4 linked regions of the Canis lupus familiaris genome follow. The protein of the gene in region 3 purifies or fractionates together with the protein of the main gene of each other region. This does not show direct contact. Links are inferred from orthologs where the notes say so. Each region holds a gene or a part of one and is shown on either strand. Other genes may lie near its edges.

The links.
Region 1: the proteins of PPP4R2 (region 3) and DHX38 purify together in Homo sapiens (affinity purification with mass spectrometry; 3 studies listed by BioGRID and IntAct, counting the BioPlex papers as one, with this or other methods). This does not show direct contact. The link is inferred for Canis lupus familiaris from reciprocal best matches to the Homo sapiens genes PPP4R2 and DHX38.
Region 2: the proteins of PPP4R2 (region 3) and TIPRL purify together in Homo sapiens (affinity purification with mass spectrometry; 5 studies listed by BioGRID and IntAct, counting the BioPlex papers as one, with this or other methods). This does not show direct contact. The link is inferred for Canis lupus familiaris from reciprocal best matches to the Homo sapiens genes PPP4R2 and TIPRL.
Region 4: the proteins of PPP4R2 (region 3) and CCDC6 purify together in Homo sapiens (co-immunoprecipitation; 3 studies listed by BioGRID and IntAct, counting the BioPlex papers as one, with this or other methods). This does not show direct contact. The link is inferred for Canis lupus familiaris from reciprocal best matches to the Homo sapiens genes PPP4R2 and CCDC6.

What each region holds. Positions count from the first base shown.
Region 1 is NC_049226.1:78,405,935-78,409,434, reverse strand, and holds part of DHX38 (pre-mRNA-splicing factor ATP-dependent RNA helicase PRP16), read right to left. Parts: intron 3,469-3,500; coding exon 3,260-3,468; intron 3,143-3,259; coding exon 2,988-3,142; intron 2,553-2,987; coding exon 2,397-2,552; intron 2,299-2,396; coding exon 2,164-2,298; intron 2,002-2,163; coding exon 1,876-2,001; intron 1,367-1,875; coding exon 1,271-1,366; intron 1-1,270. UniProt on the Homo sapiens protein: Probable ATP-binding RNA helicase. Involved in pre-mRNA splicing as component of the spliceosome.
Region 2 is NC_049228.1:30,246,741-30,250,240, forward strand, and holds part of TIPRL (TIP41-like protein), read right to left. Parts: intron 2,970-3,500; coding exon 2,870-2,969; intron 1-2,869. UniProt on the Homo sapiens protein: May be a allosteric regulator of serine/threonine-protein phosphatase 2A (PP2A). Isoform 1 inhibits catalytic activity of the PP2A(D) core complex in vitro. The PP2A(C):TIPRL complex does not show phosphatase activity.
Region 3 is NC_049241.1:19,298,848-19,302,996, reverse strand, and holds the start of PPP4R2 (serine/threonine-protein phosphatase 4 regulatory subunit 2), read left to right. Parts: upstream 1-1,349; 5' UTR 1,350-1,465; coding exon 1,466-1,505; intron 1,506-1,905; coding exon 1,906-1,987; intron 1,988-4,149. UniProt on the Homo sapiens protein: Regulatory subunit of serine/threonine-protein phosphatase 4 (PP4). May regulate the activity of PPP4C at centrosomal microtubule organizing centers.
Region 4 is NC_049225.1:12,639,199-12,642,698, forward strand, and holds the end of CCDC6 (coiled-coil domain-containing protein 6), read right to left. Parts: intron 1,720-3,500; coding exon 1,595-1,719; intron 576-1,594; exon of another isoform or gene 553-575; coding exon 358-552; downstream 1-357.

The DNA of each region.
Region 1 (3,500 bases), on a different chromosome or scaffold from region 3:
CATTACCACCTAGCTGGGAGGAACAGGGAAGATGGGTGTGGGCCCAGTGTGGAAAGTATGGACAAGAGGAGAAGCAAAAGCCCAGCAACATTCTGCAACCCTAAATAGCTCTGGGCATCCACGGACAGTCAGACCGTGAGGAGATGGAGTAGCAGCTAGAGAACTCCTACTGGAGGGATCGCAGAATCTCAGAATCCTCCCAAGTGGGACCACCAGACCTGACATGCTTCCTAAGAGGATCTAAAAGGAAGTTCACAATACCACATGCATTTATGCATCTTTGCCCAAAACAGCTAAATCTGAATCCTATCAGGCGTTTAATTACTGGTTTAGAGAAATAGCACAGGGGAGAGGCACAAGTTAAAAACCATCATGAAAAAGCAACTGGTCAAATACAGAAGATGAAGCATTCTACAAGTGACCTGGTTTCTCCAATTAATCAATGCTGTTATAAAAAATGGAGGCAGGGCATGTTCTAGAATAAAACACTTACCGCCTATAACTAATTATAATGTTTAGATCCTAATCCAAGCAAATCATAAAAAATTATCTTTGGGATGAAAGAAGAAATATGAATAAGCACTAGAAACTCAGATAACATTAAGAATTAAATATGTTAAGTGATAATGGCATAACGGTTACATTTTAAAAACAAATTAAGTTCTCTTAGAGATGCTTACTCAAGTATTTATTGGTGAAATAACATGTCTGAAATATGCTTTAAAATCTTTCCAGGAAAAAAAATGAGTGTGTGGAGGGGTTGGAATAAGCCCAACAAGACTAACCAAATGTTGATTATTATGGAGATTAGGTGATGAATTCATGATGGCTTCCTGTACAGTTTTTTACACTTTTATGAATATTTGGACTTTTCAATGAGGCTTTTTTTTTTTTTTTTAAAGGCCTGTGTGGCTAGTTGGTTGAGCATCTGACTCTCGATTTCAGCTCATGATCTCAGGCTTGTGGGGTCAAGTCCCACACTGGGCTCCATGCTCAGTGTGAAGCCTGCTTGAAATTACTCTAATTATTTACTCTAAATAAGTAAATAAAATCTTTAGAAAAAAAAAAAAAACACGAACTCTCAGCAGGCCAAGCAATTGGAGTAGTTGGGAGAACTCTAACAGACCAATCTGGCTCGATCACAGCTTTTGTATTTGAGAGAGAAGTAAGGAGGGTAGGAGTCAGATGAGAACATGTCTTCAATACCAGGTTGAAGGGAAAATGGCTCCCACAGGAAGCAGAACCTTCATGGAAAGTGGAGGATCCTTACCTGGCGAGACTTTCCTGCCTGTTTTACACTGTAGAACATGGGGCCCAGCTCTGCTAGCCACTCTCCATCCACTGCGGTCACACACTGCATGTATTCCTGCAGGCAGAAGGGTCACAAAGTGGTGGTCACAGAGGGGCCATGCCTTGGGCCGTCCTTCCCATAGCAGTTCCACAATTAGGACCTATGTAAGAAGGATCTGACCCCCAGCCCTTTGAAAAAGGCAAACACAAGCCCCAGACACTGGAATTCTAATCCTTTCTCCCACTCAAATTCCTCCACACTTAAAAACATGCCCCTAGTATCCAAGAGAAAAGGCCTAGCCCCTCAGAAAGCCCTTCTAATGACACCAAGAGGGGTTGCTTATCCCAGGCAGGAAGTAGGAAACAATCCTGCTGGCACAGCCACGGCTACTATCATCTAAAGGTTAACTCTGTATAAGCTTCCCCCAAACCCAAATGAAAACCAATCTATCAATTCCCCTCAAAGCAACACATGCAGCCTCATCTCCCAAGCTTAAAACTCATACTGGAAGGCAACAAAGGGTTCCAAAGTCCTGGCCCAGCCAGGGACGCCTACATCACACAACTGTGTCAGAAAAGACTCACCTTGGTGGTCATGACCAGCTCATGATATACTATGTAGTCTGGGGTGTAGCCCATTCCAAAGAGTGAGCTGGTGGGGTGCAAGTGGCAGGGCATCCCTGTCCGGATATTCACATATTCCCCAATTCCCTAGGGAAGAGACAGAACAGGTAGCCACACCAAGAAAATGCTGCTCATCTGGGCAGCCACTCCCCTTGTTGACACAGACCTCGGTGGGGAACCCAGATCTGCAGGACTGTGCAATGAGAAAGAACCTTGTCCTCGTACAGTTATCAGGCTCCTCTGGCTCACCTTGAGCTTGGCTGCCTGGTGGAAATAGGCAGCACAGATACACTTCCTGACGATGTCCCAGTCCGTGCCGCACGAGGCCAGGCTCATCCGCTGCTGCACCATGATGTCCTTGAGCTGAGCTCGCACCTCCCGGACCTAGAGCAGGACACAGGGCAGAAAAGGATGGAGCCCTCCTCCTCCTCCCTACCACCCCCTCACCCCAATATCCTGCTTATCTGGGCTCTTGCCCCCACCTTCCGCATGGCCTTGGCATGGATGAAATGATCGTTACACCAGATGGTGGAGTAATTATTATTTTTCCACTGCAGGTAGACGTTCAGGTAGGTCAAATGATCACTCTCGGGGACAGCAAACTTCTCCCGGATTTGATCACTTTCCTCTTCTCGGCCCTGGGAAGGAAAAAGGACCTTTACTCTCTGCACAGGGAGTCCAGGCCCACCGAGAAGACCCTGGAGGCTCTCCCACTGTCAGCTATCTGCACATACGACTTCAAACATGTTGATATGTGGCCCTGACAATACAGGGAAAATAATACAGCCTATAATGAAGTATTTACTCTAAAACAGGAGAGCTCAGGCACAACATACTAGAAGATAAAAAAAGATAAAATTTTCCAATCGGTCTCTGAGAACCACTGATCTAGCCCATGCTTTCCCTTACCCCAACCTGCTCAACAGAAATCAGCATTATTCTCTGGAAACATGGACTCTTGTCCCTCTATCCTATTTTAAAGAAAGGTACTAGTCCCCTCTAATCCTGCCTCAGGCCCATAAACTGCCCTGTGGCTTCTGGGAAGATAGAAGCACAGGACACCCCGTCCCCACCTTGGGCCTGTAGAAGATGGCTGGCACGGACAGCATGGAAACAATGAGCAGGATCTCAGAGCTGCAGCCCATGTCACAGGACACGATAAGCATCTTGGACAGGGCTGGGTCCAGTGGGAACTCCACCATCAGCCGCCCAGTCGAGGTCAGACCACCTGGGAGAGGAGCCAGTTGAAATGCTGAGTGGACACAGTGAAGTCAAGAAAAAGAAAACCCCATCACCAGAGGCCCAGAGGCCCTGAGGCCCTGCCCGGCTCCCAGGGCCTCAGCACCTGTGTTGTCCAGGGCCCCGAGGATCCAGAGCTGATACATGGAGTTGAGCATGTTATCCTCAGGGGGCGGGTCCATGAAGTGGAACTGCAGCAGGTCCTGCACGCCCAGGGACTTGAGCAGCAGCACCACATTGGCCAGGTTGGTTCTCTGGATCTCAGGCACTGTGGTAGTCAGGAGCTCGTTCTTGTAGGCACTCTGGGTGTAGAGCCTGCCAGGAAGAAGAACCCTGAATTTCCACCT
Region 2 (3,500 bases), on a different chromosome or scaffold from region 3:
ACTGACTTTCTTCTCTTACACTATGCTACAACTCACAGAGTAATCGGCAAAACAACCCAAGAAGGGTGAGAAATGCTACACACACACACACACACACACACACACACACACACACCAGCAGCCTCCAGCAATTAAAAGGCAAGAATTTAAGGCCAAAAGGAAAGGCTTCATTCTAATGTCTCATTCTGTGACATTCTTATTATTCATATAAAATATATTCTCTTCCATGGGCATATATTTTCTATACATAACAGGACTTTTGTTTTCAGAAAAGGTGAAGAATTAAATAATTTAAAATCCCAAGTAATGATATAGGTTAAAAAATCCTTACATATCGAGAAAGTCAAAAGCAGAAAATGTTCCTATAGGATGATCTTCCCCATACAACAAACATGCTTAACAATAAGCTACCACATTGGTATTATGTTGTTAAGAGATACATACTTTAAGATCTTGAACCCATTTCTTCATCCGCAAAATGAGGATAAGAATGCCTATGATATAAGGTTATTTTGAGGATTAAGCAACAAAGTTCTAACAGTTTTGCCTAGAAAACAGTTACTTGATTTTTTAGGGCAATAAACGAACATAACCATCAACTTGTTTAGATCATAAAGCAAATATAAATATTTAAACAATATATCTAGGGGCAGCCCGGGTGGCTCAGCGGTTAGTTCCACCTTCAGCCCAGGGCATGATCCTGGGGACCCAGGATCGAGTCCCGCATCGGGCTCCTTCCATGGAGCCTGCTTCTCCCTCTGCCTATGTCTCTGCCTCTCTCTCTCTCTCTGTGTCTCTCATGAATAAATAGATAAATAATCTTTAAAAAAATAAAAATAAAAATAAACAATATATCTAGTCTTGGTATTTCAATAATACCTAATATATATCTTTTGATAGTATCTTGGCATATATCTAGTCTAATATTTTGGTCTTGGTATTTCAATATTAACTTAGTTCCCTTGACATTTGAGATATAATATTATCATAATAATAATAGCAGCTACCATTTATGGACTCTTGCTATGTAACAGACACTGTGCTAAACACTTTACATAATCATTTCCTTACAACTGTTATTATCCAGTTTACCAAAGTGATAAATAATGTTTAGCAAGATTAAACTGCTTTTCCGGGCAGCCCCGGAGGCTCGGCGGTTTAGCGCCACCTTCAGCCCAGGGCCTGATCCTGGAGACCTGGGATCGAGTCTCGCTCGCGTCGGGCTCCCTGCGTGGAGCCTGCTTCTCCCTCTGCCTGTGTCTCTGCCTCTCTCTCAATCTCTGTCTCTCATAAATAAATAAATAAAATCTTTAAAAAATAATAATAAAATAAAAAATAAATAAACTGCTTTTCCAAGTTAAGTAATGGTTCTGGGATTTGAACCCAGGCCTGCCAAAGCCTGAGCTCATTACTACCAGTGAGGGGGTGTTCACACTGACATTTGTCAACAATACCTCAAAACAAATTACATCTCAGGTGAATGTGTCAGTAAGAGTACTGAACACACGTGCTTTTCACCTCCAACTCTCATCCTCCCTGTTTCTACTGCTGTGCTTCTTGCTCCTCCAACACAGCTAATGCTACTTCATAACCCACAGGAGGCCTTTTGTAAGTCATCACTCCTACAAAGGAATAAAACAAGTTCCCATTTCCTTATTCCTGGCAATGAAAGATCAGATGGACTATGTTCTTTACAAAGTTTCTCAATCAGAAGAAAGAACATTACTCTGGGAAGTATTAGGGACTGAAATAACCTTGCTCCCCATTAGACCATAAAGGAGGGATTTCTGTTCTTTGCTGTATCCACAGCTCCTAGAATTAGTGCATAGCTCAGAGGAAGAGCTCAAGAATGAGTGAATGAATGAATAAATGCATACATGTTCTCTCTAAAAATGTATATTGTCTTGGAAGCAGCAGAGAAAAACAGTTAAACCCTGGATTACATGAGAGGCAGAAACTAAAGAGAACAGAGTTCCTTCCATGAACTTCTGTCTTTCCAAGACTCTAAAGATCTCTGCAGAGACAAGGAGCCCATACATAGCTCTATCTCCTTAACATTTCTGTCTAAGAGCCAACATATGATATAGGGTCTCTAATAATTACTTTATTTACACTAAAATGATTTTGTTCTCTGTAATTGAATGTGATCATTAGAGAATGCAACCTAAGCCAAATTTTCTTCATTTCAATCAAACTGTAGGATTTCAAAATGCAGCTAAGTTCCTAATATGAGACATACCAATTCCACTTTCCCAGCGTCATTCACCATAAAGTCAATCTCTTCTTAAGCACAGTTTACACAGATGCATGATTAATGTAGAGCTTTAGAATTTATCGAGAGCTTTCCCACAAATTAGCTCATATCAAAACTCTATTGGGAGGTCATTGTTTCTGTTTACCCAATTTACTAAGAAAGTTGAGACTCAGAGTAAGTAGCTTCCTAGAGTCATACCAGGCCCCAGACAGTGCAAGCAGGACAAAGACCCAAGCTGTCTGACCAGAAGTCCTATCTGCCCACCTTCCTGTTCATCTGTACAATTGTAAGCTGCTAACCAGCAGGTTCTAAGTCGCCTAATTCATTATACCAAGGGCAGATACATATTTTAATGCTTCTTGAAAAATAATGGTAACATCAAGGCAGTTTGCTATTGCTACTAAACATACTTTGAGAATAAAAACTATTCCACTATGGCCTTCTTATCTTTTGCTTATAATCAAAAAGCAAAATCCCTTCACATTAGGTTCTAAAGCTTTCCTCAATAGAAAGTGGGATGAAAGTAGCAGCAAAAATAACCATTAAAAAGTTCTAATGCTGAGACTGCCCAAGACAATTATTGACTTTATCATAAAAGCAAAAAATAAGATTTACCTTTAACTTAAGTGATTCTCCAAGTAATGTCCCCTTATAATCTGTTGTATAGGTCCAATCGTATGGTTTAATAACTTCCTTGGAGTGTTCACCCTCCGTCCTCAAATATCAAAATGAGAAGGATTATAATCAGTGATGCAGAATATAGACCATCTGTATTCATATAACACACCAAATTACACTCTACGAATAATATAAATATCCTAATATATATATTTGCCAAAATTCACTAATACAAGATCTTTCTTGTTTTTCCTGCATATTTTTTTTCCTGCATATTTGTTGTTAAACTTGTCATAGCTGATAAAGTCTCTCCCATTAGTCTGTATACTGCCTAAGGGCATGGTTTAAAAGTTGATTCCTCCAAGGTACCTAGTACATAATAGATAATAATTGCTAATTTGATTATCAAAGAAAATACATTTTTCTCTATTTCAAAGTTCCTCACATTTACAATGCAAATCACAAGTAAACATTTTTCTCAAAAACAGGAACATTAAAGTACACAGTGTACCCCCTCTTCACTAAAGAACACTGAAAGCTCAAAAAATGTAAACCTTACATAGCTCAGCTCAACTGTAATTCAATTAACTCAACAAGTATTCAATAGGTGGAGTAACTAATCTCCATT
Region 3 (4,149 bases):
CACCCGAGCTGCCCCCTGAAGGTCTTTTTTTTTTTTTTTTCTTTTAAGATTTGTTTATTTATTTATGATAGACAGAGAGAGAGGCAGAGACACAGGAGGAGGGAGAAGCAGGCTCCACGCAGGGAGTCCCGACGCGGGACTCGATCCCGGGACTCCAGGATCGCGCCCTGGGCCAAAGGCAGGCGCTCAACCGCTGCGCCCCCCGGGCTGCCCCCCGGAGGGGGGGTCCTGTTTGAACGCACCTTCTGACGGCTGTGTGCACCCAGTCACCTAAATCTCCGAGCACCTGCACGCGGAGGTCGACACTCATTGCACGGACAGGGAGAGTAGGTAAGGCTCAGAGAGGCTCCGCAAATTGCTCAGCATCACGCCGCCATAGCAACCGGCAGGGACTCGCGTTCAGGGAGCCGGCCCGCGCCCGCCCGCCCGCCCGCGGGGCCGCGAGCTCAGCCCGGGCTCGCCGGGGGTCGCCCCCAGGGGGCGGGCGGGGCGGCGCGGGCCCGCGGGCGCTCCGGGGCTGCCTCGGCCGCGCACGCGCTCTCGGGCTCCGGGCCGGGGCGCGCGGCGGGCGCGAGGACGGCGGCGGGGAGCGTGCGCGCCGTGACGTGCCGGGCGCCATGTTGGAGGGCTGGTGGTAGCGGCTCGGGGAGGTGCTCGCTCGCTCGGTCTCGCTCTCTCGCTCGCTTCCCCCGGCTCCCTTCGGTGCCCCCCCCGGTCGCCTGCGTGCCGGAGTGTGTGCGAGGGAGGGGGAGGGCGTCGGGGGGGTGGGGGGAGGCGTTCCGGTCCCCGGGAGACCCGCGGAGGGAGGCGGAGGCTGCGAGGGACTCCGGGAAGCCATGGACGTCGAGAGGCTGCAGGAGGCGCTGAAAGGTGGGGGTAGCTGCCCCCTCTCCCTTGCTCCGCACCCTCCGCGGCCCCCCGGTCCTCTCTTCCAGGGCCGGGGGGCCCCGAGGCCCCGGCCGGGGGCGGGGGCGCCTCCGCGGTTCCCATCCCCCTCCCACCTCCCCAGGGGCGGGGAGCCCTGTGGGCAGCTCCCTCCCGCCCCGCTCTGGGCTTTGTGTCGGCCGCCGGCGTCTGGGCTGGGGGAGGGGAGCCGGGGAGGCTCCGGCAGGGGCCCCAGCGTCCCGCCCACCCTTCCGGGGAGACGCCGTGTGCCCGCAGCCCCCTTACCGGCAGGCTCCGTGTTCCGTCAGGCCCCCGCACGCCGGGCGTCGGGTTGGGAGGAAAAGTGGAAGGTTTGGGGTGAGGGGGGTGGGGTGCGAGGGAGAGGGCGGCCGAGCAACTTTAAAGTGTCTCAGGAAGTCTTTTTTCAGCGCTTCTGAAGTCCTTCCTGCACGCGCCCTAATTCCGAGGGGGTCGCCTTGGCGGCTCTCGGTCGCCCGCCTTCCACGCAACAGGCTTGGGAACGCCGTGGTTCCCAAACTTAGAGTCGCGTGTGGTTTTTCCAGCGTTTTCACCACAAGGCATGTCGACACGCGAAGTCCTGTGGAAAACGGCTGCACGAGGTAGCTGCAGGCCAAGACGATCAGCAGTTTGCGGGGCTTTTTCCGTGGGGCCTCAGATCTGTATTTTAATCAGCGGCCCAGAGGCTTCTGTTGGTGTTCCCCTGGACCGCACTTTGAGAAACAGCGCCTCAAGGATGATTTATGGAGCAGCTGAGTGCCCCCTTTAGGAGGATTCTTGTTCACAGTGTGGAGAGAGACCATTGTTGGGAGTAGAACTTGGGAGAATCAGAAGTGAATATTTTGGTTGAGAGAGGCTGGACTCTCTTTTTTTTTTTTTTTTTTTTTAAATAGCTGCTTAATATTTCAGGAAGGACTTGGAGAAAAGTTTGTTTGTATAGTGTATTGGAAGTGGTTGATGGACTTTGAACATACCGACTGACAATTTTTCTTTCTTATTTAGATTTTGAGAAGAGGGGAAAAAAGGAAGTTTGTCCTGTCCTGGATCAGTTTCTTTGTCATGTAGCCAAGACTGGAGAGACAATGTGAGTTGAAAACATGCCTTGGTTGTTACGCTCCTAGGTTATCATTCAGAATTGGTTGGGGGGGGGGGGGGGGAAGGATATTTCAGAAGAAATATCGGCGGAAGAGCTGAATTTCAGAAGAGGTGAATAATCTATGTACAGCTGTACAAGCTCCACTTAGCGCATATACTGTATTTCCTTTACGCGTACTCCAATGGGTTTTAAAAATTTGTTAACATTTTCTTTGCATCTCTGCTTTTGTAGATTTAGAATTTGTCTTGAAGAGCTAGAGAAAAGAATGCCTATCCTGTTAGGACCCTTTTTGGCCCTAACAAGCTTATTTCCAGAATTTTGTGGCTTTGATTTCTGTCTCAAAAATTTTTTTTTTGTTGGTGGTATTTTCTCATATTGTCCTGTATCCAACCTTTTGTTGTCATATTTATGTATGTGGGTGTTTGAAGTGTCACTTCTATTTATTCTCTTGAGGATTTAGGGTGATTATCTGACAAATTCCAGATGCTACAGTTTTGACTGTCCTGTAAACTTTCTAGGATAGCTAACTTGTTACATATGCTCAGCATTTTATTAGGCTTGTTTCCAAATGTTGTGAATCTGAAACTTACACTATGAAGTTAGGATTGTTTTCATAAGGACCATTCCAGTTCATTGTGTGTGTAGTTTGTGTGGCAGGAGTTGTTTTTGCCATCACTAAGTCAATTTGTAGAAAGCAGTGCATATTTGGTGACTTCCTTGTACTCTTTGTAGGGGGGTGGGAGCAAGAAAGGATAAAGGTTTCTCTGGGTGCAGTGTTACTAAATGAGCTTTCTTTTGGCTCCCCTGGGTCTTGTCTATTTTTAATATTCTTTTTGAGTTCTTCAGTGAGTGTAAGCTTCAGCAAGTGATGTATACTTTCTTTGGCTTTATTAGTAGATGTTCATTTCTGACAAGATTTGCTTGTGGTTGTAGTATATGTAGCCTTTTAATAACTAGCCCAATTATAGAAAGGAAAAAGACCCTCTGATTTAGTAGTCATGTAGATAAGCTGCTTTATTAAAATTACCAGTCAACTTAAGAATGTGTCTTGATGCGTTCAATCTTATATTTTTATTTATTCCACTTAAAAAGAGGAACTCTTTAGGGAAGAAGTCCTATTGCCTCTGAATTACAGTCTCTTAGAACATCTTGATTTTAAAAATTGATGCAACATAATTAACTGGTATTTATGTAGATAAGCGTAAAATGACTAGTTGCCAGCTTTCAGAAATAATCCCTAAATCATAAATTTTTAGATTGCCATTATTTCTTTCCGGTTGTTAGCTGGTCCAAACTTAACCCCCTACAATACCAAGATACCAAGAGGAGAAGCTTTTTACTTTCAGAGTTTTGATACAAAAGATTATATCAAACTATTTGGAGATAGATACTTAAAACCTCTTCTCCTTATCAGGTTTGTATATAAACTGTCTTTTGATAAACCTATGTTGACTGTAAATAGTTGAAAACTTCTGAAAGAAAACTTCTTACCCTGTCAGACTGGATCACCATGTGGCTAGGAAAGTTTAACCTGGTTTTTGGGGGTAATTATTTTGTCTTGATAGGGGTCTTTTTTTTTTTTTTTTAAGTATTTTTTTTCAATTTTTATTTATTTATGATAGTCACAGAGAGAGAGAGAGAGAGAGAGGCAGAGACACAGGCCGAGAGAGAAGCAGGCTCCATGCACCGGGAGCCCGATGTGGGATTCGATCCCGGGTCTCCAGGATTGCGCCCTGGGCCAAAGGCAGGCGCCAAACCGCTGCGCCACCCAGGGATCCCTTGATAGGGGTCTTAAGTTCCGCCACCCCCTTTAAACTCCTCCCATTTTTTTACATTTACTAATAGCATTTTGTATTAAAATGGTGATATTAGATTCTTCATATTTGGAAAGTATTTTTAAATTTGTCATAAAGCAGCTGGTGTTCACACATTTAATTTTAATCTTTGTTTTTAATCAACATGAACGTGCTTTTTTTTTTTTTTTTTAATTTATTTATTTGACAGCACAAGCAGGGGGAGCAGCAGACTTCCCTCAGAGCAGAGAGCCCAGTGGGCGGAACTCCATCCCAGAACCCTGTGATCATGACTTAAGTGAAGGCAGACTCTTAACTGACTGAGCCATCCGGGAACCCCTAGCATGCCCTCTGATT
Region 4 (3,500 bases), on a different chromosome or scaffold from region 3:
TATCCCTTTTTATTTTACAAACCTAAAAGCCAGGAAAATGAAGCTCTGGGGCCAAGCAAAAATTGCACGCTGCTGCTGAATTACCAAATATCGAATAGCAAATGTTCCAGCCAGGGAATGGACGTACACGTAGATTCAAGTAGAACACTGATGGAAAAAAGTCGTCTGTGTAGTGTTGCAGACACACAACACTGGCTGCGTTTCTGACAAACACTTACAACACAATTAATAGTGAAGCCTAGATAACGTCAGTGCAAATAAGTCAGATCCAGAACTGCCAGGGAAGGAAGCCTTTGGCGTTGAGCAGGCGGCTCCACTGTCCGAGTCCCCACGTGAGCTGCAGACGAAGCACATGCATTAAGGCTGGGAGGGGGGGTGCGCCGGCTGCGGCGAGGGGGCGGGCGGCGCGCCGGCCGCGGGGGGGGCCGCAGGCTGCATGGGGGGCGGCGGCGGCGGCGGCGGCGGCTGCACGGGGCTCTGTGTGTTGGGAGACGGAGGCGGCGTGGGCCGTTTGAATTTGTCAGGACTGTTGCTTCTCCGCGGTGAAGGCCTCTGCAGAGGGGACAGAAGGGCAGGTCAGTCCGGGGCGGACCGCTCCTTTTTAACCGCCTGAACAGTGGGGGCTGGTGAAGGGGGATGGGGGGCCACAGAGCCCAGAGGCTAGCGAGTTCCTGGCCTGCCCCTCCCGCTCCCTCAAGTGGGGACGTAAACACCTTGGGGTCTGCACCGACACCCGTGAAAAAGCCACACGAAGTGACTATGAAACTTGCACTGACCAAATTACTGGACTCGGGCCCTTCCACGGGACAGTCCTAGAATCAAAAACAGCGCCACATCCCCCAACTGGATCTCCTCTGTCCCTTGTATGTCACCGAGTTGCTTCCATTGCCCTACTCAGTTATCAATATCCCAAAAGCTGCAGCTCAACCAGATGTTTCCCAACAAACCAATAAAAACAGCTTCAGAAATACCTTACTGCTTTTGTAGGCTAAGAGTCTTCTTTTGAAGGTTTCCTTATTGGAACCAGTACCCTCCCTTCTTCACTATTCTCAAACTCCTGTGTGCTACGTTTTCAACTGTTCTATTAGTTCAACTTAATAAGCAGCTCTCAAGGAAAAACTCCCGAGTGAAGTCTGAACAAAAAGCATTTAAGACTCCTTCTGATTCCAGGAGAGAAAATTCTGAGTGAAACCAGAAATAAGGCTAATTTCAAGAAGAATACTGAAGATCAGTGAACTGTGAAGATGCCAACAATAAATATTTTAGACATTGTGGCAACCAGCAATGACTCGTTATAGCAAAGAGCTGGCCAGAGTTTAATTACGGCCTTGGCCAGAGTTCAAATTACATTTCACAAAGGATAATTTTTCACAGAAAGTGAAGCTGAAGTTTTGTCTCCTGGGAAGGATTTTAGTTTCAACACCAGAATTTGGTATCAAACTGCTGGGAAGTCTCTATAGATTGAAGGTGAACTGATGGTGGGAGGGAGAAAAAAAGTAAATGTCTAACAGCATCACCCCTGTTCTCCCCTAAAAAGAAGCCGTTGCTACCACCATCAGGAGTCAGTGTGGCTTCCTCCCCTGTGGATACTTACTGTGATACCATGGGAGGCTCCCATATGCTGCACATGAAGACCCGGGGAATTGTAGTAAGACATTCCGGCTCTTGTCAGTGAAGTCGGTGGCGTGAAGCCAACTGTGTGACTTGCATATGATAGACCTGAAATATAACAACAAGTATTATTTCAGATTCCATTATCTAGTGTCTTCAACCACCGAGAAGAATTTAAAATGCAAAAGTTTTCAGTCACCAAAAAAAATGAACACACATGAAAAGTGTGGTGGGCTCATCAAATCCTGCTGGGTAAAAGGGGATATAAAAGTCAAGTCCTAGAATAGAACAGAGAGCCCAGAAATAGGTCCACACATAAACAATCGAAAGGTGCCAAGAATACATAATGGGGAAAGGGTAGCCTCTTCAATAAATGGTACTGAGAAAACTGGATATCCACATGCAAAGGAATGCAACTGGACCCTTACCTTATACCATTCACAAAAATCAATTCAAAATGATTGGAATAAAGGACTCAGACATAAGACCTACAACTATAAACTCCTAGAAGAAAACACAGAGGGAAGGTTTCATGATATTGATCTTAGCAATAAGATGTCTCAGATGTGACACCAAAAGCACAACCACAAAAGCAGAAAATAGACAAGTGGGACTATATCAAACTCAAAAGCTTCCACAGCAAAGGAAATAACAGAAAAGCAAACTATGGAATATGAGGAAATATTTAAAAACCATGTATCAGATAAGGGATTAGTATTCAAAATATATAAGGAACTCCTACAGTTCAATAACAAATAACCCAATTAAAAAATGGGCAAAGGACTTGAACAGACATCTCTCCAAAGACACAGAAATAGGCAACAGGCATATGAAAAGATGCTCAACATCATGCAACATTATCCACAAGAGTCAAGATGTATAAACCACCTACATCAAACTCAACATCCAAAAAACAAAAAAAATCCAATCAAGAAATGGGCAGAAGACATGAACGGACATTTCTCAAAAGAAGGCATACAAATGGCCAACAGATACATGAAAAAATGCTTCCATCACTGGGCATCAGGAAATACAAATCAAAACTACAATGAGATACCACCTTACATCAGTCAGAATGGCTAAAATTAACTCAGGAAACAACAGATGTTGGTGAGGATGGAGAGAAAGGGGAACCCTCTTACACTGTTGGCAGGAATTACAAACTGGTACAGCTACTCTGGAAAACAGTGTGGAGATTCCTCAAAAAAATAAAAATAGAGCTACCCTATGACCCAGCAATTGCACTAGCAGGTTATTTATCCAAGGGATACAAACATAGTGATCCAAAGGGGCAACTGCACCACAATATTTATAGCAGCAATGTCTATAATAGCCAAACTGTGGAAAGAGCCCAGATGCCCATGAACAGATAAGTGGAGAAAGAAGATATGGTATATCTATATACACAATGGAATACTACTCGGCCATCAAAAAGAATGAAATCTTGCCATTTGTAATAACATGGATGGAACTAGAGGGTATTATGCTAAGCAAAATAATTTCTCTGTCAGAGAAAGACAAATACCATATGATTTCACTCATGTGAAATTTAAGAAACAAAGCAGGTGAATATAGGGGAAGGGAAGGAAAAATAAAATAAGACAAAAACAGAAGGAGACAAACCATAAGAGACTCTTACTTAACTATGGGAAACTGGGGGTTGCTGGAGGGAAGAGGGGGGGGATTGGGTAACTGGTAACTGGATGGGCATTAAGAAGAGCACTTGAAGTAATAAGCACTGGGTGTTGCATGCAACTGATGAATCACTAAATTCTACCTCTGAAACTATGCACACAAACTCCACCTGAATGTCCATCAACAAAGTAGTAAAGAAAACATGGTATATACACACAAGGGAATATTATTCAGCCATTAAAAATTATTTTTAA